Linked DNA regions of Elephas maximus indicus. The protein of the gene in region 1 binds, or shares a complex with, the protein of each later gene. Links are inferred from orthologs where the notes say so. Each region holds a gene or a part of one and is shown in the gene's direction. Other genes may lie near its edges.

Region 1 (7,816 bases):
TCTTAGAGGCAGTTTGGAAACCCTGGTGGTGCTACGGCTGCTAACCAAAGGGTCGGCAGTTCAAATCTGCCAGGTGCTCCTTGGAAACTCTATGGGGTAGTTCTACTCTGTCCTGTAGGGTCCCTGTGAGTCGGAATCGACTCGACGGCGCTGGGTTTGGTTGGTTTGGAGAAGCAGTTTGAATCCACCAGGCGCTCCTTGGAAACTCTATGGGGCAGTTCTACTCTGTCCTATAGGGTTGCTATGAGTCAGAATCGACTCGATTGGCAAGGGGTTTGGTTTGGAACCCTTATCAAGAAGCCCTGGTGGCACAGTGATTAAGAGCTGCGGCTGCAAGCCAAAAAGTTGGCAGTTTGAATCCACCAGCCGCTCCTTGGAAACCCTTTGGGGCCATTCTACTCCGCCCTACAGGGTCACTGTGAGTCAAAATTTACTCAACAGCAACAGGTTTGGTTTTGATTTAGAGCCTGTATCAAAGAGTCCTGGTAGCACAAACGGCTAAGGGCTCCCCTGCTAATCAAAAGGCTCGAATCCGCCCAGTGGCTCTTGGGGAGAAAGACCTGTCAATCCGCTCCAGTAAAGACTGCAGCCGAGAAAACCCTAGGGGGAATAGACTCAAGGGCATCTAAGGACAACAGAGCCTTTATCGCAATTTAACTTGCACTCTAGATCTTTGTGAGGCTGTCTTGTTTTCTTTACTAGGTTATAAACTCCTTTACAAAAGGAGCCCTGGTGGTGTGGTGGTTAAGAGCTCAGCTGCTAAGGAAATAGGTCAGGAGTTCAAATCCACCAGCTGCTCCTTGGAAACCTCATGGAGCAGCTCTACTCTGTAGGTTCCTATGAGGCAGAATCAACTCAACAGCAATGAGTTTAGGTTTGGTTAATGACAGAAAGCAAGTCTTACTCACTCTAGTATTTGTTTATCTTTCCTCTGACTCAGATATAATAGATGATCCATGACTACTTGTGGAATTAAAAAGTACACTGGGGATCTCACCTAATATGAAATAAACAAACATAATGAAACCAAAGATTAGTAGTGGTTACCAAAGTGGGAGGGAAGAGAAAATACGGAGTATTCTTGCTAAGAGGACATTGAGTTTTTGTTAATTTCCAATAATTTGGAAAAGGATAGCAAGAATGATTTTACACATTGAGTGTATGTTAACGGTGGTAGAATAATTTGGAAAAGGATAGTGAGAATGGTTTTACAACTCTAAGGATGTAGTCAGTGTCACGTAGAAATTGTTGAGTTGGCCTGTGTGTCGTGTGTTTTTTCACCACCCATGCACACACACAAAACAGCATCGTAGGAGCAGACAAATCAGGTTATTCCAAGACGTTAAACTTCTTCCTGCATGTAAAGTTAACACTTTCGACAAGTGTGTTCATTATTGAACTAATATTTAATGAAAGTAGTCTAAGTAGTCACATTGCATTGGGCAAATCTGCTGCAAAAGACCTCTTCAAAGTGTTAAAAAGCAAAGAGGTCACTCTAAGGACTAAGGTGCACCTGATCCAACCCATGGAATTTTCAATCACCTCATATGCATGTGAAAGCTGGACAATGAATAAGTAAGATTGAAGAATTGATGCATTTGAGTTATGGTGTTGGCAAAGAATATTGAATATACCAGGGGCTGCCAGAAAAACAAATCTGTCTTGGAAGATGTATAGCCAGTCTGGTGAGACTTGGTCTCATTTACTTTGGACATATTATCAGGAAGGACCAGTCCCTGGAGAAGGACATCATGCTTGGTAGAGTACAGGGTCAGTGAAAAAGAGGAAGACCCTGAACAAGATGGACTGACACAGTGGCTGCAACAATGGGATCAAGCCTCTAGTTCTTGGGACTTGAGCTAGCAGCTTACCTGTGGCTTTGCCTGCTGATCTTGGGATGTGTTGAAGTTCACAGCCTATGAGCAAGAGCCCTGCTCTCTGACCTGCCAGTCTTGGGTTTGCCAGCCCCTGCGGCAGCTGCGTGAATCAGGAAGAGCCTCTATCCTGATCCATTTGGGACATTCCAGCTTCTCCAATCGCATAAGCCATTTCCTTGATGTAAGTCTCTCTCTCTCTATATGTAAATACATTTATATGCTTTACTGGTTTTGTTTCTCTAGGGAACTGAGCCTAAGACAGCAGGGGAAGCTGGAGGTTGGCTAACTAGAAGTAGGGCATCTTATATGATTGATTTGGGGAGCATATTTGGCTTTCTCGAGTTGGTTCTGGGTTGGGGCAGGGGATAGGGAAGTTGGTAGCCTTTGGGCAAGTCCTGAACATTCTGTGGCAATTGCTGCAGAGGTTGTGGTTTGGCTTGTTATGTGGGTCAGAGTTCTATTATCCTCTATGATCCAGTTGTTGTGCATTTGTATATTCTGTCTCACTCATTAATGAGGAAACCAGCAGAGTGACAGAATTAATTCCATGAAGACATGAGACACTGGGATTTATATAACTATTGGGGAAAAGAACGGTGAAATACAATTGCTACATTAATACAAAACTTGCTAATGTTTCTCGGGACAATGCAATTTTAAATTCTGAGATTATTTTTTCGTCTTGGATTCCTTCCCATTATTCCATAACACCTTACTAGTTGTCTGCCTGTTGACCTCAGATTTGCTGCCCTGGAGACCTATGTCTAACAGAATAAAACGTTGCCTGGTTCTGCGCTATCTTCCTGATCACTGGTATGTCTGAGTCAGTTGTGGCCGTTGGGTCAATCCATCACATGAGGGTTTCCCTCGTTTCCACTTTACCAAATATGATGTCCTTTTCTAGTGATCGGTCTCTTTCAATGACTGTCCAAGGTAAGCAAGTTGAAGTCCCACCATCCTCACTTCTAAGGAGCATTCTGGCTGTATTTTTCCTAAAACCGATTTGTTCATTCTTCTGGTAGTCTGTGGTATATTCAATATTCTTTGTTAACACCGCCATTTGAATATATCTATTCTTCTGTTTTTCTTTTTTATTGTCCGTCTTTCCTATGCCTGTGAAGCAACTGAAAAGACTGTTGGTTGGGTCAGGTGCAACTGAGTCATCAAAACGACATCTTTGTTTTTAAAACTTGAAAGAGGTCTTTTGCAGTACAATACTATCCTCATTTCCGAAATGAGAAAACTTAGGTACAGGTCGAGTAACTTGAGGAGTAACCAGTACTAAGTAATTAAACACAATTAAACTACAGCTACAGAGTAGTTGAAGGAGCCCTAGTGGTACAGTGGGTAAAGCTGCCGGTCTGCTAATCGAAAGCGTTACCACAAATCGCGGGTCCGAGCAGCCTGCCGCAAAGCCAATACTCAGACAGGAGGAGGTAAGCAGTAAGAGGGCTTTACTGAATACCGGTATTCAAGAGACCCAAACCAAAAACCCAAACCCACTGCCGTCGTCGATTCTGACTCATAGCGACCCTATAGGACAGAGTAGAACTGCCCCATAGAGTTTCCAAGGAGCGCCTGGCGGATTTGAACTGCGACCTCTTGGTTAGCAGCCATAGCACTTAATCACTACGCCACCGGGGTTTCCATTCAAGAGACAGAGGGGGCTAAATTTCTCCCAAATTCTGTCTACCCTAAAGGGTTGACGGGAGAGTTTTATATGGGGAAGATCAGGGTTATCTAATCTTTTGAGCATGTAGTCCACAGATGGTCTTATACGTCACAAAACAACCACAAAAAAACTATTCAACTAAAGATATGCATGTCAGGCATCCAGACTCTCATCAGTATATTTGTAACAGGCTGAAAAACTCACGTAACAATCTCTTGGCTAGTGGAACTGTTTTGCCAAGTCCACTGTGGCTGAGATAGGGAGCGAAAAAAAAAAGCTGCAGATTAAAAATGCCAGAGAGCCTTCCTATGGGTTTGCAGGCTGAAGGCCATCTCTCAAGAGAACAAAAAGAAGAAAGACCAAGGCCACAGGAGCTGAGATAGCTCCGCACCCCTTTGGAAGAGATGGGTACATCTGGTGCAATAAAAAAATGTTGAGAGATTACTTAGAGCATCCTTAGGGCGTTAGTTATGTCAAGCTCTCCATCACCTATTTTGAATAGGGGGAAACCTGTTTGTAAGGTATCATGTTTTAAGAGTGGAACAGGCTGCTCAGCTATATTTTGAACAGAGCCTGCACCATTTTCCAAGGACTAGAGATTAATCACAGCTTATACAGCTATACTAAAACAAATAAGAACATATATTCTCTCTAATATTAAAACACTAAAGAAAATGAATTTTTGCTACTTCAAAAGGTCAGAGGTTTGAAGCCACCAGCAGCTCCGCTAGAAAAAAATATGGCATTCCGCTTCCCTAGAGATTGAGAGCCTTGGAAACCCTATGGGGTCACTGAGTTGGAATCTACAGGATGGCAGTGGTTTAGTTTTGGGTACAGAGTAGTTGAGCTCTGGCCAACTGGGCCTGTTCTCTCACTTGTGAAAGAGGCAGCCATTTGAGGTAAATTCACAAATTTCTGAATTTTGTGTAGACACTCAATAGCTGGCGCCCCTACTCTGGGTTCAACAGATTCCAGAGCACGATGAGAGTAGCAACCAGAAGCTTTAGTTTGCCACAAAGCAAAGGGGTCCTCCATCTTCCTTTGCGCCGCCCGCTCACGCTCCCCCACGCCCCCTCAGTCCCGCCCTCGGTTCCGCCCCGCCCCCTCCCTCCCCAGCCCGCCCTCTGGTTGTCATGGGGATCCGGGACGCCCGAGCCTGCTTGTTACCCTCCCGCGGTACCCCTGGCGAGGGGGCGAGGTCACGTGACGACGCATGCGCGTTCTCGGCCTCGAAGGCGCCGCGGTGGCTGCCGGGACTCGGCTCCTAGCAGCCAGATCAGGAAGTGGCGGGCGGAGCCCGGGGCCGAGTCGCCGCCTCAGTAGCCGCTGCCGCCGCGGCCGGTGGGGAGACCTCGACCTGGCGTGCGTGCGAGCAGGCGGGGGTGCTGACGGCGAGCAGGAAGAGGCGGCGGCTCCGGCGTGGGCGGCGGGCCCTGGCGGAGGCGCGGGGAGGCGGCGGCGGGTCGCGCGGGGCGGCTCTACTGGCTGAGGTAGGGGCCGCGGCCGCCGGCTGGGGGGCGCTGAGCCTGGGCTGTTGTTCCTCGGACGGGGACGCGCCACCTCCTCCCGCGGGGCCGAGCGTGGCTTCCAGCCCCGGAAGGCTGGGCTGTGGCTCTCCCGGCCGAGCACTGCAAGGGTGTAACAGTTCCGTGGGAGCTTTGTCTTTGAGGCCGGAGCGTTCATTGAGCAAACTTCTGGGTTGGCAGGAGGGAAGATGCACCGTCGGAAAGCTGAGAAGTCTCTTCCTCCCCCACGTTCCCATGGGCGGTAGCTGAGGGAACCGCGTGTGGAGTTTCGGGAACCACAGTGTGCCGACAGGTACCTCAAGGCTGTGATTTAGACACTCACCCACGGACTGTTTTTTTTTTTAAGCTGGCTTTTGGAGACTTAGTTTGTAATGATCCTTAAACTTAGTCATACAGTTATAGTTGTTTTCTGCGTAGTTTAAAGACGTTTTCCAAAAACGATACTGCGGTACCTTTTTCAGCCTACTCTCTGCTTCTGTGTGTTTTCTCAGCCTGCCGGCTGTTGGTAGCAGTGTTGTTAGATGCCAGTGACACCTCTGAGGCTTAGTCAGGGAAAGGAGGAAAAGTAGAAAGGCTAAATAAAAGAGGCGACTGGTGTGGTGGCAAGAACGTGGCTTTTGGAGGCAGAAGATTTTGGTTTAGTTTTGGCTTCTTAAAATCCATCCTTGGAGGAAGGCGCCAGCTCCCTGAACCGGTGTGGTGAGTCTGTGTGGTGGTTTTTAATGTAACTGGGGATGGTGATGTGTGCTGTCTACTGTAACACAGTTCAGCATAGGGATGGGAAACTCAATAGGAATGTTGAGAAGTCTTCTGAGAAAAGAGGAAAAGCTAGCTAGAGCATGCAGTGGTGAAAACGGGAGATACTAGTAAGCCTTCTGCTCTAGGTGCCATTCATTGATCGTCAGCAGTACCACACAGGTGGCCTTTGTTGCAGAGGCCTTAAGCAGTGTTTCCCATCCGGTGTGAGGAGCACTTGACCGGTAGTCAGGATATTTGTGGTTTTAGCCCTAGTTCTCCCAGCTGTGTGACTGTAACCATACAGCTTCACTTCAGATTTCACATCTTAAAATAGGAGTGAAACTAATACCTTATTATCTCATAGTGTTGTGAGGATCAAATACTGTATTTAGGTCTTTTTAAACTCTAAGGCTTTCTTTGAATTTGTGTTTAAATCATTAGGAAAATCCCAGATTAATTACTTATCTAAACAAGGGGAAATAAACTGATACAAATGCTTCCCGTTTTAGAGTTTACAGTCTTCTGTTGCCCCCCACCATGTCACTTGTGAATTCTCATTGCTCGTTCTTGGTATCACACTTTGCCTTGCCCCAAGACACTCTACCTTCCTTACTCCGGTGTGATCATTTTGTTATTTCTTGTCAAACCCGTCTCAAAATAGTAATACTGAAATGATAACATATTTGTATAGTGTGGTGCTTTACTATTTAAAAAATCGCTTTAATGACTCTTTTTGTTTTTTACAGTTGAGCTAGATGTAGACACTGTTGGTAGTATCTTCATTTTACTTATCATGATGTTGCTTATTGGGAGAATAAGCAACATCATGATAAACAGGTTGTGAGGACTTTTGTTTTCTTCGTAGAGGTGTAATTCATACTGAAGTCTGTAGCCTTTGATCATCATCGGTAAGCGCTTAAACGTCTCTTCCCTTTCAGCAAGCAAGGTTGTGTCATCTGCATATCTCAGATTGTTAATGAGTCTTCCTCTAATCCTGATGCCCCGTTCTTCTTCACATAGTTGAGCTTCTTGGATTATTTGCTAAGAATACAGATTGAATAAGTATGGTGAAAGGATACAACCGTGATGTACACCTTTCCTGATTTTAAACCATGTAGTATCTCCTTGTTCCATTTGAACAGCTGCCTCTTGGTCTATGTACAGGTTCCTCATGAGCACAATTAAGTGTTCTGGAATTCCCATTCTTTGCAATGTTATCCATAATTTGTTATGATCCACACAGTCGAATGCCTTTGCATAGAGAATAAAACACAGGTAAACATCTTCATGGTATTCTCTGTTTACAGCCAAGATTCATTTGCTATCAGCATTAATACCCCTGCTTCCATGTCCTCTTCCGAATCTGGCTTAATTTCTGGCAGCTCCCTATTGATGTACTGCTGCAATTGCTTTTTAATTATCTTCAGCAAATTTTTACTTGTGTGTGACATTAATGATACTGTTTGATAATTTCTGCATTTTGTTGGATCACTTTTCTTTGGTTTGGACACAAATATGAATCTCTTCCAGTTGGTTGGCAAGGTAGCTGTCTTCCAGATTTCTTGGCACGGACAAGTGAGCACCTCCAGCACCGCATCTGCTTGTTGAAACATCTCAGTTTGTATTCCACCGATTCCTGGAGTCTTGTTTTTCGCCATGCCTTCAGTACAGCTTGGACTTCTTCCTTCAGTACTATGAGTTCTTGATCATATGCTACCTCCTGAAATGGTTGAACATCAACCAATTCTTTTTGGTACAGTGACTCTGTATTCCTTCCATCTTCTTTTGATGCTTCCTGAGTTGTTCAGTATTTTCGCCATAGAATCCTTCAGTATTGCAACTCAAGGCTGGAGTTTTTTCTTCAGATCTTTCAGGTTGAGAAGTTCCAAGCTTTTGGTTTTCTAACTCCAAGTCTTTGCATATTTCATTGTAATACTTTATCTTCTTGACCCACCCTTTGAAAACTTCTGTTCAGCTCTTTTACTTCATCTTTTTTTTGCTTT
Region 2 (6,937 bases), on another chromosome or scaffold:
GAGCAGGAAAGGGAAGGGTGAGAGGCTGGAACCAAGGGGCGCCTACCCTTCTAACCTACCTTGCCCATGGGTGGCTCTAATGGCGTCCACCTCTTCCAGCCCAGCCCAGCCCAGCCCAGCCCAGCCCAACTGGTTCTCACTGCGGCACCCAGTGCAACGGTTCTGTCCATATTCCAGGAGTTCTGGGGAAGTCCGAGGGGAGGAGGGGCCCCTCCGGGGCTCAGGCCCTCCCAAGCGGATCCGAGCAGCTTCTTCTTTGGCAAAGGCCCCAAGGTCCTGAGTGTATCGGCCATACATCTGGAGCAATGGAGAAGGTGGGACATTAGCAGATGTGGGCTGTGTGGGGAGTGATCCTGGGGCCTCACATCCCCTCTTCCCAGCCTCCACATTGCATAGCTCCTCTTGAGCCCACAGTTCCCACTCTGGCTTGAGGTGTGGGAACAATGCACACTCAGGCTGTGAGGGCTGTCTTGGCTGGAGCGATGGGGACAGCCAAGGTACACAGCTCTGGGGGTGGCAGAATAATCAGTCCCCTTCTCACAGGCCTTGGGGGTGGGGCACTTTGGGGGAGTAGGAGGGAAGGCCCCAGAGGAGGAAAAGACTGAAAAACCTAAGGCACAGAGTCTGAAAGTGGGAGGAGGGAAGGTCAGGGAATAAGGGATGGTCAAGGGCTTAAGGTCAACGATAACGGCCTCATGGAGCTGGGGGCAGCTCAGAGTTGGGCCTAGGAACATGCGGGGCCCCAATCCTTATCACGTTCTTGCTGGGCCTCTGGCCTGTGACTGACTCTGCTGCACCCTCCCACCCCCCTTAATCCCCTTGTCCCTATTCCCCACCCCAACCCCCACCAGCCTGTCAGCCAGCTGCTCTCAGGATGGGTGGAGAGTGTTTGGTGGCCTCAGCCCCATTCTGGAGCTGCCCTGAGCCCAGTGGCGGTTTGGGGGACACCAGAGCTGCTGGTGGCTGGGCTGTTACTGGATGCTGGGGCGATGGGACAGGACAAGGGAAAGTCGGAGAGTTGCCGCGCCAGAGCCATGGCTAGACCTGCCAAACTAGGCATGTGTCGGGGGGGTGGGGAGGAGTAGATTCTGGCAGCCACTCGCCCAGCTTCGGGACACAAAGGGCTCCTGTTGGGGCTGGGGTGGGGAGGGGAGAGGGAGGGAAAGATAGAGACAGAGAGGGTGAGAGACAGAGAGCTAGGAGAGGAAGGCGAAGCACACAGCAAAGAAAGAGGAGAAAGCAGGAAAAGAAAGGTGAGAAGAAGGGATGGAGAAGAGAAAGGAGACAGGAATGGGGAGGAAGCACGGAGGAGAACAGAGAGAAAGCTGCTCATAAAGAGGCAGATAGAGTAGGAGGTGGGAATCAGTATGTGAGAGAAAGACAAAGGAATCAGGAGCAGAAGGGGGAGAGGCTGGAGAGAGAATACCCGGGGAGAGCATTTGACCCTCAGCGCTAGCTCATTCCAGAGGTGGAGGGGGGGAAGCCTGAGGAGGTGGAGACGTGGCTGGAGACAGACTCCATTTCAGAAGCAGGTGCCCAGTTGGCCTCCGCCTTGACCACTGTCCCTATCAGCCTGAGCAGATTGAAACCTCTTGCCCTATCCCGACGTCTCATTCCCTTCCCCTCACTCCAGCACCACTCCTGCCACCTCCCCCTGCCATCCTGTTTTATATAGTGACTCTCCTAACTGGGCACCTCCCAGCCTGAGTTACAGCCTAGCCCCCCTTCTCCCTGAGATGTTCCCTTCCTGCCACCTTCCTGGGCAAATTCCAGGCCAAGCAGATGAAGAGACTATTGCCTTCCCTGGGGCTTGGTCCCCTGCCCCAGTGACAATGAGAGGCAAATGCCTTCTCACACACTAAATGACAGTGGAGGCCATGAGTCAGCTCAGAGCCCCAGGACCCCTGCTTCTAATGAGGTCAAGGGACACCCTGGGGGAAGGTGGGGACTGGATACCTAGAGTCAGCATGGACAAAAGTCCCAATTCCCAGACCCAAAGCGCCTGTCCCCCAAGGTGGCAGGCCACCTTTTTTTTTTTCTTTTTCCAGAGTGGGCAGAAGGGTTCCTGCTAATGCTGGTTTGCAAAGCCTCAGGGGTAGGGCTGGGGCTGGGTTTGGGTCTGATTATGTCCCAACACCCCCTTGTCTCTGTCACCGTGCCATGCACATAGTGGGAACACAAGGGCTGTCTTGGACAGTGGGGACACTGGGAGAGAAAGTTCAAGCGTGTGAGTGGTCATGAGGGGCGGAGTGAAGGCGCTGAGGCTTGGGCTTAGGTGGTGAGGGGAAGGAGGAAGAAAACGTGTGTGTCTGTGTGTGTGTCGTGAAAGAAAGGCACCTGGGACAAGTACCTGGTATCCTTGTCTTCTTCAGGCCCCCAGCCTCGGCCAGAAACCTGCAAGCAGCTTTCGGCCCCTTTGGCCCTTCAGCTTCTTAGACCCCCGAGCCTCAGTTTCCCCAGCTGAGAAGGTTGGGTGGGGTTCAGGTAGGCCCCGCTCCCAGCGCTTCCGAGGGTAACGTGGAGCCGCGGTCCTGGAGCGCACGCTCGTGGCCGGGCACCGCTTCACTCACCAGGGTCTGCTCGTACTGCAGCGCCCGCGGCTCCATCCCTGCCTCTGCCGCCACCGCCCCGGCCGCCATCTCCGCGCACTGCCCTCTCGTCTGCCGCTGAAGCTCGGGCTCCGGCCGGCACTCGGCTCCTGGTCCGCAGAGCTCGCTCCGGACCCGGACCCGGACCCGGCCCGCAGCCCGAGCTGCCGAGCGCAGAGTGCAGCAGGTCCCGAGCGGGCGCCGTGAGCGCAGCCTCCCGCTCTTGTACTCTCCCCGGCGGGCGGGCCGAGGGCGGTGTTCTCTGCGCGCTCCGCCCGCCCGCCCATCCTGAGGGGCCGGCCCAGCCCGGCCGGGGTCTGCTTTGGGGCCACTTCCAGGCTCCGAGAGGCGGCAGGGGGCGCTGGGGCCTAGCGAGAACGCGTCCCCTTCCCGCCGAGGCCGGGGACAGAGACGGCGCCCGGGGCCACGGCGGGGGCGGGTCCGTTGGCCTGTGGAGAGGCCGGCGGGGTACGCTGCTCCTTGGGCCAGGGACGCCGGAGCTCAGTCGAGCTCGGGGTCCGGGGCTGCAGAGCCGTCTAAATCGGACTCTTGGGGCTCAACTCTTTTCTCTGGAGCGGCACCCTCTCTCTCCTCGGTAGGGGCAAGCGGCTGAGACGGGCCGGGAGCGGCCTCTCTGCGCCGCCGGGGGTGAGAGCAAAGCTGCGGGGACTCGGAGAGGAATTCTGGGCCCAGAAGGGGCGGGGACAGGAGGATGCTAGTTGCTGAGACCCTCGGTCTCTTTTTCCCTTCCTCCGGGCTTCCCCAGGGAGGTGCACCTGGAGGAACCTGGCCTGGGGTTGTGCGGGGGTGGAGGTGGGGAGGGGAGAGGCGAGGCCCGAGGGAAGGGAGGTCTGGGCGCCTGAGAGGCCACTCCTGGGAGGCGGGCGTGTAGGGGCAGAGGTTGCTTCTCCTTGGCAGGGCCCAAGGAGAAATCCGAGTTGCTGCTGATGTCTCGCTGCCACGGGGGAACGGCTTGCTGGGGCTCTGCGTTCCCTATCAGAGTTCGGGGAAGGATAGGGCAGAGGGTGGGGTGAGCACAGACTGGATGGGCAGCGTCAGGGGTAGGGTAGCTAGAGCGGAGACGGCAGTGCCCAGGAAACGGGCAGAGATAGTGTGCGTGTGTGTGTGGTGAAGGGGCACGTGGAGGCAGAGGCGGTTCGCGGGGGGAGGGGGCACTGCCCAGGAAACTGGAAGAGCTGGTATCTGAAGGGGTGGCCAGTGCCAGAATGAGTGTCCAGAGGGACAGGGCAGTGGTGGAGGAATGGGCAGTACCAGGCTGCGGGGGCTAGTGCCAGGCTGAGGCGGGGTGTAGGGAAGGGAGCAGGGCCCAGGGAACAAGGGCCGTGGGGGGCGGACGCTGTGCCGGAGGAGAGGGCACGGCGGGCTTTCCTCTTCCCCATAGTGACATCTTGGCAAATTCCCAAAATGGACGGATCCGGCTCGGGTGACATCCAGCAGGGCCAAGCCGGCCTGGGGCCGGGGGGCCTCAGGGCCAGCTGGAGTGGCTGGGCACTGCGCCCTGCCCCGCTCCTACGCTGAGGCCGGGGCTCTGCTCTGCCCGTCCCAGCCCGGACTGTGTCCTCGGCGGGCACGCGGACCGAAAGGGTAGGGCTAGGGCCGGGCTTCTCTGGGCCAAGGATCAAGGTCCTAGCCTGGGATAGGCCCCATGCATTACATTCTTGAGGACCCCGCCTCTGAAGAGGGCGCATTGGAGCCCCTGAGCGCGAGAATCCGTGCCACTTCGACCGGAGGCGGGATCTATTGCGTTCCCGCCCAGGGGCGGAATCACCTGGACCCGAGACCCGCCCTCAGTACAGAAGCGTCTCGGCTGCAATCACTCGGGGCGGAAGTTAACATACCCCGAGAGGGAGGTGGCGGAAGTGGGGCCGGTACTGCAAGCCCTTGCGCGTGTGCTGTCCCGCTACCTCCCGGCCGCTCTCTGGGCGCTCTCCCTTTGCCTTGGCTTCTAACCCACGCGAGGGGTTGTGTGTATTCCCCCCCGCCGTCTCGGTCGCGCGCTCAGCACCCTTCAGCGCCCCCCTCACTATGGCAGGCATCCTGTTTGAAGATATTTTCGATGTGAAAGACATTGACCCAGAGGGGAAGAAATTTGACCGAGGTACGTAAGGTCTGTAGGGGCGGTTTGGGGGAAAGGGGTCACGCCTCCGGGCCCCACGTCGTCCAGCTTACGTGGCCTGCCCCTACCTGCAGGCCCTGATGTTGGGACCTCCTTCAGGAAACGTTTATAGACGAGAAGACTGAGACTTGGAGCTTTCCCTGTTTCACACATGCTGTGCCCAGTGGCTGGGTGGCTTTTTGTCCTGGTCCTGGCAAACTCCGGGGCGTCTTTCGTAATAACAGTCGCCACCTACTCCGTAAGACACGACTGTGCACCCTACACACCCCTTGTCTTAATTGCTCCTCTCAACAGTCCCCATGAGGTGTGGGATGCCTTCCCCGTTTTGCTCTGAGAGGTTCAGTAGCCCGCCCAAGGCTGAACAGCGAATGATCTGACGTCAGAGCCTGTAATTTTGTATTGCCTTTGGAGATCCTGGAGGTCCAGTGGGTAAGAGCTACAGCTGTTAACCAAAAGTTCGGCAGTTGGAATCCACCGTATACACTCCTTGGAAACCCTTTGGAGCAGTTCTACTCGGTCCTATAGGGTCGCTATGAGTTGGAATGGACTCAAGGGCAAAGCTTTTTTTTTTTTTTTTAACTCTTTAAGAAGCAGTCTCTGAGTTAGGATTAACTCACGTTAATTCTTTATTCTGTCATTGATCAATAATCGTTTCTCCCCCATGTCCCTTCCTTTGCCTGGAGACTGAGATGTGCTTTCAGGCAGATACTGGTTCTTAAACATCCTGATAAGCCCCTCAATGTAAGGCTTAGCACAGAAAGACTAAACTTTTGGGTGGTTGTTTCTTGCTAAAACAAACAAGCAAACAAAAAAAACCATTGCCCTGGTGTGGATTCTGACTCATAGTGACCCTGTAGGACAGAGTAGAACTGCCCCATTGAGTTTCCAAGGTGCTGCTGGTGGATTTGAACTGCAGACCTTTAACCTGGATATTATTCCCTACCAGAGTACCTTTCTGGTTTTCTCTCCCCCCCCCTTTTTTTTTAGTAATACTTTATTTTATATTTGATGATGGTTTACACAGTTTACTACATTCCCATTTGACAATTTCTATATAAATTGTTCCGTGATGTTAGTCATGTTTGGGCATTCTGTTCCCTTGAAACGGTTTTCCTTTTTGCATATGTAGTTCTGATTGAGTTTGCCCTTATATAAGCGTAGGTGAGAGACTGGTAGATGCAGGCTGGTTAGATTGAGTGTTCTGTTACGTGTAATCCCCAAAGCGAGGTCTGCCCTGGACCTGGCAGTTCCCTTTGCCACTCTTTCTCTCTTCCTGCCAGTGTCTCGACTGCATTGTGAGAGTGAATCATTCAAGATGGATCTCATCTTAGACGTGAACATTCAGATTTACCCCGTCGACTTGGGTACGTGCCGAACACAGACCATAGCAAGGGGCTTTTTGCCATTTCACTTGTCTTCACCTTCAGATGTTGCCATTATTTTCAGGTGACAAGTTCCGGTTGGTCATAGCCAGTACCTTGTATGAAGACGGTACACTGGATGATGGTGAATACAACCCCACAGATGACCGGCCTTCCAGGTGAGAGTGGAGGAGAGAATGCTTGAAATATACGTGGAAGACTTAAGCAGAGAAGCGGTATAGAAAGATTCTTATTTAATTATTGGAATAAGTGATTATTAACAGAATCTGAGTAATAAGGAATGTGCTACACTTAATTAATTCAGACAACTGGGCATTTGTCGACAGGCATGATTACAAGCTTCTGAGTTGCAGTTCTTTGAAGGCCCAGGGACTAACCACTGAGTGACCTAGGTTATGTGGACCTTGTGTCTTGGGAGGGAGCTTGGTGTGTGGCAAGGCTTTGGAGCGCCACTGAGTTCAAATTTCAGCTCCACCTCTAATTTGCTGAGTAACCTCCTTGAGCCTGAGTTTTCTCATCAGTAAAATAGAGATGGTCAGGTCCAGGTCATAATGTTGCCAAGGACTAGACGGCATCGTAGTTGTAAAGGGCCTGTTTTTAAAATACTGGCACTTACTTACCAGTTGCCATTTTTAAAGGGCCTTTTGTTGTTCATTACTGTCCATTAAGAATAACTGCCACTGTTATTCCACAGGGCTGACCAATTCGAGTATGTAATGTATGGGAAGGTGTATAGGATTGAGGGCGATGAAACTTCTACGGAAGCAGCAACACGCCTGTAAGTTCTGTGGTCTCGTGAGAATCCTTTTTCCCCCCTCCCTGTTCTGAGA

Evidence for each region.
Region 2: GTF2E2 (region 1) and POLR2H share a complex: the UniProt entries of both Homo sapiens proteins name them as parts of the TBP-based Pol II pre-initiation complex. The link is inferred for Elephas maximus indicus from reciprocal best matches to the Homo sapiens genes GTF2E2 and POLR2H.

What each region holds. Positions count from the first base shown.
Region 1 is NC_064840.1:69,553,462-69,561,277, forward strand, and holds the start of GTF2E2 (transcription initiation factor IIE subunit beta), read left to right. Parts: upstream 1-4,808; 5' UTR 4,809-5,039; intron 5,040-5,048; exon of another isoform or gene 5,049-5,255; 5' UTR 5,256-5,367; intron 5,368-7,816. UniProt on the Homo sapiens protein: Recruits TFIIH to the initiation complex and stimulates the RNA polymerase II C-terminal domain kinase and DNA-dependent ATPase activities of TFIIH. Both TFIIH and TFIIE are required for promoter clearance by RNA polymerase.
Region 2 is NC_064819.1:30,728,480-30,735,416, reverse strand, and holds the start of POLR2H (DNA-directed RNA polymerases I, II, and III subunit RPABC3), read left to right. Parts: upstream 1-3,932; 5' UTR 3,933-4,634; coding exon 4,635-4,707; intron 4,708-6,005; coding exon 6,006-6,089; intron 6,090-6,171; coding exon 6,172-6,265; intron 6,266-6,801; coding exon 6,802-6,885; intron 6,886-6,937. Other genes in the region: CLCN2 (chloride channel protein 2), read right to left, coding at 141-297, 2,571-2,639. UniProt on the Homo sapiens protein: DNA-dependent RNA polymerase catalyzes the transcription of DNA into RNA using the four ribonucleoside triphosphates as substrates.